Neodiprion lecontei: one gene and its partner. Each later gene encodes a partner of the first gene's protein in a complex. Links are inferred from orthologs where the notes say so. Each region holds a gene or a part of one and is shown on either strand. Other genes may lie near its edges.

What was found. The genes of interacting proteins can lie anywhere in the genome.
Region 2: meckelin (region 1) and B9 domain-containing protein 1-like share a complex: the UniProt entries of both Homo sapiens proteins name them as parts of the tectonic-like complex. The link is inferred for Neodiprion lecontei from reciprocal best matches to the Homo sapiens genes TMEM67 and B9D1.

The regions. Positions count from the first base shown.
Region 1 is NC_060260.1:37,172,285-37,178,733, forward strand, and holds meckelin, read right to left. Parts: upstream 4,931-6,449; 5' UTR 4,796-4,930; intron 4,714-4,795; 5' UTR 4,520-4,713; coding exon 4,412-4,519; intron 4,215-4,411; coding exon 4,020-4,214; intron 3,933-4,019; coding exon 3,681-3,932; intron 3,593-3,680; coding exon 3,438-3,592; intron 3,350-3,437; coding exon 3,184-3,349; intron 3,066-3,183; coding exon 2,781-3,065; intron 2,703-2,780; coding exon 2,232-2,702; intron 2,148-2,231; coding exon 1,873-2,147; intron 1,759-1,872; coding exon 1,578-1,758; intron 1,461-1,577; coding exon 1,250-1,460; intron 1,172-1,249; coding exon 948-1,171; 3' UTR 522-947; downstream 1-521. Other genes in the region: NADH dehydrogenase [ubiquinone] 1 beta subcomplex subunit 3, read left to right, coding at 1-288; ATPase ASNA1 homolog, read left to right, coding at 6,315-6,433. UniProt on the Homo sapiens protein: Required for ciliary structure and function. Part of the tectonic-like complex which is required for tissue-specific ciliogenesis and may regulate ciliary membrane composition.
Region 2 is NC_060261.1:40,677,987-40,683,889, forward strand, and holds B9 domain-containing protein 1-like, read right to left. Parts: upstream 3,938-5,903; 5' UTR 3,932-3,937; coding exon 3,806-3,931; exon of another isoform or gene 2,494-3,805; coding exon 2,382-2,493; coding exon of another isoform or gene 2,378-2,381; exon of another isoform or gene 2,074-2,377; coding exon 1,965-2,073; exon of another isoform or gene 1,474-1,964; coding exon 1,355-1,473; exon of another isoform or gene 1,050-1,354; coding exon of another isoform or gene 1,033-1,049; coding exon 929-1,032; 3' UTR 519-928; downstream 1-518. Other genes in the region: aconitate hydratase, mitochondrial, read right to left, coding at 5,244-5,384, 5,521-5,869. UniProt on the Homo sapiens protein: Component of the tectonic-like complex, a complex localized at the transition zone of primary cilia and acting as a barrier that prevents diffusion of transmembrane proteins between the cilia and plasma membranes.

The sequences.
Region 1 (6,449 bases):
ACCATATACAAACTAGAAAATGCACCTGAACTGCTACGCGTTCAAGAAAAATTGGCAAAGGAAGGTTTAAGAGATCCTTGGCTGCGGAATGAAGTTTGGCGTTACGACGTAACAAAGTGGGGAACATTTTGGGGGCGTGGCTTCCGGTACGCGACATGTGGCCTCAAATTGGGTATTCCATTGTTTCTCTTAACAATAGGACTTGAAAAAGCTCTGGGAATTGAATATGGCCATGGCCATAGCCATGACCATGATGCACATAGTGGAGAACATGGTGGTCATCATTAAATTTCTTTCCAGTTCACACTGTTGATATAATAAATGAAATGATGGTGATGATACAAGTGTAGTTTGTGATATAATAAATACAGTAACTAAAATTCCTATTATTCGAACTATTTCTATTAGACTTAACTTAACATGAATCAAGAAAATATATACAGCGAACAGTGTGATTATTGTTTTAGGAGGATTTTATTTTGTACCAATAGACATGTTTTCAATATATCTGCATATTATATTCCCCATTATTTACTTTTGAACAATACTTGCCACACTTTATCCAGTCTTTCTTTGATGTCATATAAATCAATGACATTTAACTTAATATTAGTTTGTATTTGTAGAAGCAGTAATTAGAATACATGAGCGGTACATGTATAACAGTGACCTCACGATTTTCTCAATCATCCTGATACCTTCGTAAATACGACCTTAAAATCGTTTTACCTCGTCCATTTCTGGTTTTCTTATATTTATACTCATATAAAAGCAAATGACAAATGATAGTCCCATTAAACAGGGTTACCAATTATTCTAGAGCTACAAAGATCTTAATTATATTCTGGACTCTAGGTAGTATGGACATACTTCTGGGCTTCTACTTAGGCACCCTGGAAAACTTAGTTTCTTGTCCGCATAAAATTACTTTGGCTCATTTTCTTAAATCATAGTAAAAATCTTTCATCGATCAACGTTTTCTGAGCTAAATTTTTCTTACCATTAAACTTGCAACAGATAATTAACAGCTGTGACGCGAATACTGTGACTATTATCGCCAAAGTGTAGTCCTCAAATAGGGCTTCCATAAAGTTGAATAAGGTAATTTCAAAAGTTACTAACATCCATTCGTTCCCATAGAACATGGCACGATCAAAGGAATGGTTGTTGTCTGAAAAGGAGAAAGCATTTTATATTTTGTGTTGCAAAATAATAATTCCCCAATATTGTGAACAATCAAGCTTCTTACCAACATAGAAAATTGATTTTTCGACTCCTTCTCTGAATTCAATGTCTAAAAGTTTTTCAAGGAATTGCTTATCTCTAACAGTGTATTCCAAGTCTTTGAAACAGTGATCTATAAATTGGGTCAGGAATTGTTTCATCTTCTGATATGTTTGAATGTTTCTTTCCAAATTTGACGTTGAAATTATGTCACTTCTAAGAAATCTGCTCTCTTCCTGCAACAGAGAATATACAATGTTCTCTTTATATTAGAATTCTCCTCGAAGATTGCGATAAAACAAAATTAAAAGAAAAACAAAATTATAACATTCTGAATCCTTTATAACTCCTACCAATTTGATTGGGTTCATGATTTTATCATAAAAGTTTCTGAAAGTTGCTGACACTGATATTACAAAGCTTTGCTCTGTAGTACCGGGTAGAAGTCCTCTGTGTGCGCACAAATTTTCTTCTTCTTGTTTTAGGTCGCTGATCAAAGTAGCTAGATCAGTATCTGCAAATCCGTGGACTGATCTGAAAGTTGAATACTTTATGAAAAGTTCAGTTGCTAAATCAGAAAAATAAGTTCTAACCATCAACTTTGTATTCACACAAGTATGAATTTTGTAACAAATTGATGAACCATACCTTCCATGAATATAATATCCGTAATGGTTCTGAGAAAGAATAAATATACTGATATTTGCCATTGAACATAAGTCAATGAATTCTTTGATATGATTCTTGACGTATCTGTTATAAAATATAACCATTGTCAGCCATTGTACAAGGTATACAAACATATATACTAAGGTACCAACAGCAAATTTTAGCGTAAAGCTTTCTCTTTCCTGCAAAGTTGACTCTACAGCACGAATGCTAAGTTCTGGATCTGAACGTGCCCAGAATTTAACATTAACAACCTGTGGGAATAAAATGTTGTACATAATTTATTTAACAATTCGTGCAACAATTTTTACCAAAAAGCTCATATAAATTTTACTGACCTCTAAAATGAACAGTGTTGCAATGCCTTGTACAAGCATATTTACTTTTCTGATTGTTTGAATTTTGTACCATTCATTAGCGATGAAATAAGTTCGCCAAATACTAACTGGCAATTTTTTTTGATCGGTACGATCAGCAGTATCTCCCATAGAGAAAATATCTCCACCTGATTGATTGGGGAGATTCGAATCGTTTAAATCACTCTGAATCGAGAGTCTTGATCGCCTGCTCGGGGTATTAATGCTACTCAATTTGTGCGGTGTTTTGTTTCTACTAGCTGATATTATTTCTGATGGTGTTTTTGGTGAGCTACGTTTTTCACCAGAGAATCTATTAGCGTACAATTTCTTTAGAGATGTACGAGGTGAATCGTACTTTGGTTGGCTTTGAACAGACCTCGGTTGTTCCCAATCAATGAAAAACATGTCAATGTTTCTAATCTGATAGACGAGTCCCATTATCTCAACAAGCTGCAAACATAATTGGTGCAGTAACCTTTCAAAATTGTCAGACAGATTTGTAAAGAATGAAAATATATCATTATTCACTTTTAAAGAGAATGCAACGATCACGAATATTCTGACAGTCTCCTCGTTGGCCTCGCTCGGTAATAAAACATGCATCACGGTCTGCCCTTTAAAAAAGATGAACATGTAAGCACTGGCGCAGAAAACTACGAATATAAATACGTTTCCTAGTAAACCGCAGCAAAATATAAAAAACCAGAAAAACGTGGAGGTATTTGGAACTTCACTGCCATTTCGTTTACAATGGCTCCATGCCTTGATTGCGGCAAAAGCAACTGCTAAACTCGACAAAACGCCTGTAGACACCTGAAATGCATAAAAATTTGATCAGAAGAATGAATGATGTGCTCGAGTGATTAATTAAAGATTATTTTAGGCAAACAAAATTGTGCGTTCGTTATTACTTGAAAATAAACTTGTTTACCTCTATGGCATTGTACATGTCGTTATCTGCCAATATGTAAGTGATTTTATAGCTAATTTGCACCTCAACGTTTTGACGCACATGTTCGTTTAGCAATTCACCATATTCTATCATAAGTAACGGTGGGAATATTTTTCCCTTCTCTTCTTTATTCTGCACTTTGATTCTGAATGATTGAAAAAAATTACTCAGTATATGACAGTAAATTTTTGCAACACAGCACACACATTTTCAAAAAACGAGGCAATACTCACAAAATATTAATAGATTTAGCATATCTCACAACAGTTGGATATTCTTCTCTCTTAAAAGCAGTGCCTAACGACGTTGGCAAGGCTTTAATGCCAGCTATAGTATCAGTAAAGAAAAATCTCCTTACCAGTTGCCATCGAGAAGCATCAATTTCATCCTAAACAGTGCCGCAAAGATGAAGAAGAGACTTGGGCATTTTTTGCTGCCTTTATCCTTAATTATGAAAAATGTCTTAACCATCTCACCTTATTTGTATTTCTTATCAGAACCGGCAGTGCGTATAAAATCATTTTGTCGCCCTCTCTGTATCCAAGATATGGTTCAAAAAACTCCATTCTTATATCATTGAGTATTTTGGCAGTTGTTGCACACGACTTTTCAATATTAATACCAAATCTGATATTTTTGAACAAGTCGCAGATTAAAGTTGGTGCTGAGATCGATTGATATTGTCCATTCATTGAAAATGTGGCAAATGTAATATTCAACCTGCTACTCTGTGGTGAAATAAAAAAAAGTCATTAACGACATAGTGCCAACAAATGAGTTTTTTTTCATACAATTTCGTTTCATTCTCTACGTACATTACTCTCTACATCCAGACTATACTGCTGTGAAATTTTTTTACGATTGAGAACTGTTGGGGCTTCACCTTCTCCATAGTACAGCCATAAAGGAGAGTTATGTTTATCCCAAAATAATTTACATGGTATCAAAGATGTAAATAAAGTCAGGGTGCACATATTTGCCATATGCTCGCAAGCTGTTTTGTTTCCATTCTGAAAACAAATACAAAATTCTAGTGTGATGAATTTCAATAATTATTACAAATGAAGTTATTTATGCACCGCTGGTTCAATTTTAAATTGTTCATCTTTCGAATCTTTGGGAGAATCTTCACTCCATGCTATTGTGTGAATTTTTTCGCATTCCTCCGAGAAAGCAATACCAAGAATACCGATCAGTGAATACTTACTTTACACAGGTAAACGGCTAGTTGTAGCTCATTTCTAAAGTAATAACTGTCGATATGTTGGCTTTCGTATTTGACTAAGTACGTACTTCTCACATCAGGCCATTCCATTATCCCATTTTTCTTAATACAGTACTCTTTGATTTTCAAATGTGAAACTAATGGGCAGGGGCAATTGATGTGACTCCTGAATGATTTTTTTCTACACGGTATGCAACTCGTTCCATCTGGCGATGGATAGGAGTTCTCTGGACATGGAATGCATCTTACGTTATTCAAAAGAGTCCCATTAATGTCTCGTTCCACTAAAAATATCGACGTAATTTTATGTTCTCAATATTCAGTTGTTCTTTATACTATACACAAAGAGGTAAAACAGTTTCTCACATCTGACTTCAGTCAGCGAACATTCGCAGCTACTATTAGTACTAGCATCAGAACATGGAACGCAGTCCAGTCCGTCAATTGTGGGAATCCTGTCAGGGCCACACGGCTCACAGGTCGGATTACCATTTTCAAAATTGACAAACCTACTTTGTTTATTGCAAACACAATCAAGTCCTGTAATGGTGAATTCAAAATTTTACAACTTTTTTCAGATTCATTTATTAACTGTATTTTATACAATGAATGAGACAGGTCGAAAGTATAAGTTGGAAAAAGTTTACACATCATTTTAATTTATTGAAAGTACAAATAATTGATAGTATATAATAAAACAAAAATGAAGAAATTACACCATGCTCCCTAAAATATCAATAAATTAGGCAATAAATTAAACTTGCGGTCTTTGGAGGGTTCGAGGTTCTTCGTCGTGTCACAAGCTGTGCAAATTAATGATCCAACGTTGAAATATTCCCCTCTTTTGCACATACTAGGAGTAACGTATTGAAACAACTCCCCGTTCGGATACGTGTTTACTTGGAAAATATTTTCTAAAATAACGGAGAAAAATAAATAACGAACAAACGGATCGTGTATGAAAAACATTTTTAAACCATTCGATATGCGGGTGCGTTATGTATTGTATTGTTTACAGTCTTATACCTACCGCCCGTTTCCATGGCAACTCAGGGGATATTCGGAGAGACAAACCTGCAGGCGCGATGACGCATTTGATTTGATGAAAAAAAAAAATGCCGTGCTAAAATCGCATTCTACTTTTTAAAAAATTCACAATGTTAACATTTTGTAACTTAGACGCGTAATTTTAGTTCACGATTCAATTTGTGTTTGCAAGTGTCGCGGTTGAAACCGCATTTATTTTGATGAATATACCTGAATGATATTATAATACCTAGCTGTGTTATGTCGAATTTCGCTCAAAGTCCAGAGATGGGTCGAGTTCACAACGAACTTTAATCGTACTGTAGTGGAGGTAGATTTAGATGTATTTTCAATTTTATGATTTCAAAATGTGGAGCGAGTTTTTGGCTATCCGAGTAAAAGTCGAAATGCATTATTTTTCTTTTATTTAGTTCCAGTACAGTGTCTCAAGGAACTCAATTCGCAATCGGGACGGTCATTTTAGCCAGGGATGAATTGTAAAATATAGCGGAATTAGCTTTCGGTCAATGAATCTCACGGCTTCGTAACTCATAAAATGGAATGATACCGTCATTGTACAATGGCTAATAAGGTTTCATTCTTCAATAAAACTTGTTTGACATGAATTCAAACGCAATACAGGATTCGTAAAAGCATAGATATATTGATTGCATCATTGTTTGAGCATCTGTGTTTATCACTGTAACAGTTGAGCACAAGTTGGGAACAACTGTCATTAGCATCAGCTGTGAAAGATTGGCGCAGAGCGTGACGCTTGAGCGCAAGCAGCGAAACTGCGAAATTAGTTTGTCGTGACGGGTGACATTTCGATTTTTGAGTTAATCAGAGATTGAAAAATATGGCTGCGAATGTCGAATTTGAGCCGCTGGAAGCGTCCGTGCGAAACGTGATTGATCAACGATCGTTGAGATGGATATTCGTCGGCGGAAAAGGAGGCGTTGGGAAAACAACATGCAGGTGATGTGTACATAAC
Region 2 (5,903 bases), on another chromosome or scaffold:
AATGATTAAAGATTGAATTCGAAACTTTCGTTCTCGACCTTTTTCTCGTTATACCGTCCCCGAGAATTCAACACGCGCCAAAATTACCAATTGAAAACGAATTGGGTTGCACAGTTGGACGAATAAGGTTCTGATAATATTTCAATCAATGGACTAACATCTGAATAAATTTCTCTCATTTCTCTGTTCCAGGTCCCTCAGAATTCAGGCATTATATGTAAATACCTCAGAAGAAAAGTTCACCGAGAGCGCTTTCGTTGAGAATTAGTCTACAATTATTTACTTAAGAAAGACGCTCGGCAAATATTAGTCGTTATACCGTATACGATCAGGGTGGTAAAATAATCCGGTCCTAATTGTTTTCCAATAATATAACCGGCAATATTAATATCTACGAAAAGTGCGATAAAACTGTGGAGAAAAAGGAAAAAAAAAATACCGTGTTGCAAAAATAGAAAAGTATAGTGATTCTTACGGGCAAAGTGCAACTGTTTTAAAACAAATTTTTGAAACATGTGTTTAATAAATATTGTAATGCGAGGAGTGTCAAATGCGTTCGCCATCAGGAACTTGCTGAATGAACGCCGTAACAGTATTTTTATGATAATAAAGCACGGTACAGAGAAATACGCTTAAGTGGATATATTAATTGACAATACGTTACGTTTGAATACCGGCAGATTCCATTAGTATAAATTCCATAATATAATGCCTAATTTACCTGCGAATAGGCCGCGTATGATGTACGTATACCTCGACGTATACAGATGTGCTGGAGATATCATAAATACGGTTCATCTAATTACAGGTTATTTATTTGTAATATAAACATACAATACATGCGCACGTGCATACGTGTACATATAGGGTTTTGGCAATAAACATACAAAGCATAATATTTATTCAAGGGTTTCGATAAAGTATAGTGTTACCTATCCGCCTGCTGGCCGTTGCTGTAACCCAGTTTAAAAAAATCCTTCATCGATACGTTAAAACGCACTGTAATAGTTCCTTGGGAAATCATCCTCGTCACTGAAAAAATAATATCCCTAAATTTTTCAAATTTAAAACTGCGCTGAATTGGAAATATTAATATTACAGTAGGTGCATTTTAAATTTGCCAAAGACGAGCTCTAGCATTATTGTACCAAGCTCTGTTCACGTCGAATATTGTTCGTGAAGTCTGGTGAAGAATAAAATGTACATTGACGACCGCGAGTTTCCTCACGAAATAAAAGTATCGCTCAGCTTTATGCGTTATATCGCGGTAAGAAACCGAGGCAAGCGATGTGCGAAAATAAATGTGTCGTGTGTCGTGTAAGCTGTGGATGTTGGGTATTCGAATGGTTCTTACGCTCTCGCCCTCCGCCAGTTGCGAGTATCGTTGGATCTATTAGTTCCGGTCTCCTTCCGGAGAACCAGGCAATAAATTGTTGCAATATCGAAGAAGATTGCGGAACATACACAGCCACCCTGAAAACGAAACGTTTGCGCTAATGAAACTGATTACATACCTTGCCAAAAGTGGCTGTAAATTCTAATGTTCACTTATTTATTTGTTTGTTTATTTATTTTTTTTTATCGATTGCGCAGAAAATTAAGCGGTCACTTTTAAATATTATCTACAATTTTTTCCACCAAATTGAAGCGTATCGTTTATTTATGCATGTTAAAGAAAAATTGAAGCTTAAGGGAAACGAGAAGAGATCTGATATTCGAGGGCAAAGTGGGTAAGTGGAAAAAAATGGGGTCACGTCATTCTTGAACTGCCTCTGCAAGTCGCACGGCTGACGTGCCTTATCAAAAGGACGTTTCTCGCTTCGCAGAAATTGAAAAGTAAACGTCCGAATTAATTGCTGTGTAAATTTTTATTCCACGGTTCGATCGCGACAGTTGAACGACTATGATGCAATTCCACTCAAATATAAGCGGGCGTCTGAAAAATGTGGATAAAATTGAAGTACTTTTTTGTGTGCGTGCCAGTCGCGAGTGGCAAGTGACAAACTCCGTAGCCTCTAACCACATCATGACCAAAACAGTCCAAACCGTAAACTGACAGAATCAACTGAGGCCCTAAAACAGATGGAAAATGGTATTTAGTAAGTGCAATCGATGTATTTTGCTATTCGAAAATGTAAAAAAAAAAAAAAAAATTCAATGTCGAGAACGTCTGATATCTTATCGTGATACGGGTAATCACGCTAATTGCTGCGATAAGAATATTGTTACGTCTAGTATTTAATCTTTTAAATTCTACGTATACTAATTGTAGTCAAAACATTTTGAAACTTGGCAAACATTGTAAAGGGTGGTTGTTCGGTTGTATTTTTTTTTTTAATTTCTATTTTGTAATTTTATATGAGTTTTACAGCTATACCTACATCCCTGGGGATTGATACTCTTGAACGCAATATCGAGAGGAAAGTTCCAAACAGCAACCTGGCGAGCGTCGGTGCTTTTTTTACTCATTTGCGTAAGCCCCTCTTCGATTCCCTGTGGAGTTGAAAAATTTTGGTTTACAATTCTACATGCGACATACTGTATATTATTCAAATCGGCGGAATTGTTATTGAGAGGAGATCGTAGAAATGAAAATTATCGGTGCGATACACCCCTGTTTTACATGTACTGTAGAGGAAACTTTGAGGATGATACCCTACGAAAGCTTTTTGTCACGTTTTTCTTCCCAGCGTTTCAATTGTAGTCACGAATTCTCACAACCAGCTACCTCATGATCCAATCTCGAGAGCGATAAGAGCACGTGCGTTCAATCCCCGGTTGTGAATATTTTCCCATTCAATTTATGCCGCGGTATAACCGCGGGTGAATACTTTGGTTACTCATAGAGACGAAATTCTTTCAACGAAATTTAATAACCTTAAGTGATATCTATACTTCGATGTGGTTATGAGCTGTATGGGTAATTCTTTCGAGAGCGGAAGAAAACAAGAGGAATATAACAATAAAAGAAAAGTATACCAAACTCCTTTCCTTCCATCAAGATTATTTGAAACTATCAAGATTAAGTGGGTGAATAAATTTCTGCAAAAATCGACCAAGCCGTCCGTATTATGTATGTTATAACATGTAGCGTTATTAAAAGCTTGGAAAGCGGTTATTTGAATGACATGACTAAAGGCAAGCAGGATCTTGTGCTGTACGCGAAGCCTAACATTTGAATATAAAATAAATTTATCATCTAGCCCGTAATTAATTGGGCACTTAAATTTTATGGCTATAACACCCAGGAATAATCAAGAATCATTTCGCGGTACGTTCATCGACATGTACATCGATTATTGATGGAAAAAAAATTCTCCCCACAGAAGTTTATGATTAGCGCAAATCGGAAATCAGATCAGTAACTTTTACGTTATCAGTTTTTATCAACTTACTTTATACTCTTAAAATATCTAACAGAATGTTACCGACTGATGTGAACACGCGAATCACTTCTTGTTACACGGCAGCTGCAGGTAAAATGCAAATCAAGTATTTGAGGAATGTATAAATTATCTCCATCGTTGAATAACTCGCGTGATAATAAATAAATGATTTTGCCGTCGTCGCTGGATTGAGCGCGTAGAAATTTGCAAATTAATAACTGAGCAACGGTAGATAATAATTGAAACTTTTGCCAAGTATTGGTACAATTACGATAGTGGATAAAACAAAAACCATTTTTACAATTTTTCCGTGAGAAATGGAATTGTTAGTACTGAGAAAATTAACCAAGCGGTCGGAATATTGAAATAAAAAAAAAACACAGATAAGAAAGTAAACCAATAATGTGTGATGTGTATACCCTGACGATGCTCCAGTCCGGTCCAAAGTGGTATCCATATTTGCAATACACGTTATCAATGTCATAGAAGTTTGCGTACTCGATCGATCCTGTCACTGATAAGAAAAATTCACCCTCGACTGACATGGATATAAATTACTTCTCCGTCAGATCAGATGATATTTTCTCTATCGACTACCAAAGGTTTGCTTTTACGCGTTCGCTTTACTATTTGTTGTGAATTTCGTCATTCTGCGTTGTCATGACGATATCCGCGCGTTTCGACGATTAACGGGTAAAACGCCTGATGAAGTTTGGACAAGCAACTTGCGATACATTTGTGGTTTCAAAGATAATTGTGCTAGGCGCTTATATTCTACACCAAATGACAATTCAAGCTTTTCATTACGAATTATCAAAATTTTGTTAGGTACTCAGTGACAATAGCTCTTCACTTTTCCCGGTGAACTGATTTATTTCATAAATTTAACGATCGAATTAAAAGTAATGTAAGAACCCAGTGAAACTTTTATTAAAATGATTATTTTTGGATATAAACTTGCAGTACTCTACTAAAATATACGATCGGTATTGAAGTAGCCACAAAATTGTTCAATGAAAAATTTCGACTTCAAACTACTAACGCATACTAGGTAAAACTTTATTAACACGGCAAAAACTGTTAAAAATGACAGCTTTTGCTTTTTAATCGATCGATACAGAGAATAATATATACAATAAGTATTACTGTGTAAATGATATCCTAAGTAACAGTTATTAATGTACTAATGGGCATTATTATTCAGATTAAATCACCGACTTGCTTAATATACAATTTTTTTTTTTTATACAGAACTGACCCAAGGAGCACTGGTCTTTACGATTCATCTTTTATTCAGTTGGCAAAATCAGACTTGAATGATTGGCAATGGATTATAAAGACGCAGAATAGCATCGTTGAAGTGAGACTAAAAAGTAGCTACCGATTTTAGATTTGAGTCTAGTCTTGATTCGAGTTTGAATATACACATCCATAATCAATAATACGTACAATAATTTTGTCAATTGAAGGGAAGTTTCATTACTTATTGTACATCGTACATGCATAAAAAAAAGTATGCAACTTTAGCCCGATTATAAAATTTCTCTAATATCGCATGATTCTTAGTGATAATTAGCTCCCTTAAATTTCAGTTCTCGTAATGAATACTACCTTATATTTGCATTGTTCTATTTCCTAAATATCTACCGTCTGTACGCGTAACTGCCGCTTCAAAAATCAAATTTCTATCGGAACTAAAATTCCCTGTCTACGAACGATTTCGTAAATTTTCCCTATTTGCTTTCGAAAATTCAATACATGTGACATACTAGCTTACTGCTAGTTGACATTTTTGGCATTGTTCGACTTCTCAATTCGACATCTTCATCCTTCGTTTCTTCAGTTTCGTTTAACCCTCTACTTTCCTAGGGCTACTTCCTTCATACGGTTCAACGCTGAGCCTGCTTTGAACCAACCAATCTGCTGCTCATTGAACGTGTGATTCAAAGTGATGGTGTCAACCTTTCCGTCTTTGTGTTTGATTTCTGCCTTGATAGGCTAAAACAAATCAAAAAACAAGACAAATAATCACAAGCACTGAATCAGATGTGTTAATTACTGATCTCATCTGGGAAATAGAATCAAATCTGAAATATAATTTTTGCGTTTAGGTCAAACAACTTTATCAACGAACCTTTCCAGGAGCTAAATCCTTGAGACCAAGGAGGTTGATCTTGTCAGTTGGTTGGATTTTGTCGTAATCACTTGGGTCAGCGAAAGTCAATGGAAGCATACCCTGCTTTTTCAAATTGGTTTCGTGGATCCTAGCAAAACTCTTCACAATTATGGCACGTCCTCCAAGATGTCTGGGCTCAAGAGCAGCGTGTTCCCGAGACGAACCTTCGCCGTAGTTTTCATCGCCGATAGTTACCCATCTGACGCCATTCTTTTTATAATGTCGAGCAACATCGGGAACAGCTCCCCACTCTCCCGTAAGCTGGTTCTTGATTTTGTTGACTTCGCCGTTTTCCGCATTGACCGCACTGAAAAACAAGGAAAATTGGAAACCTCCAAACA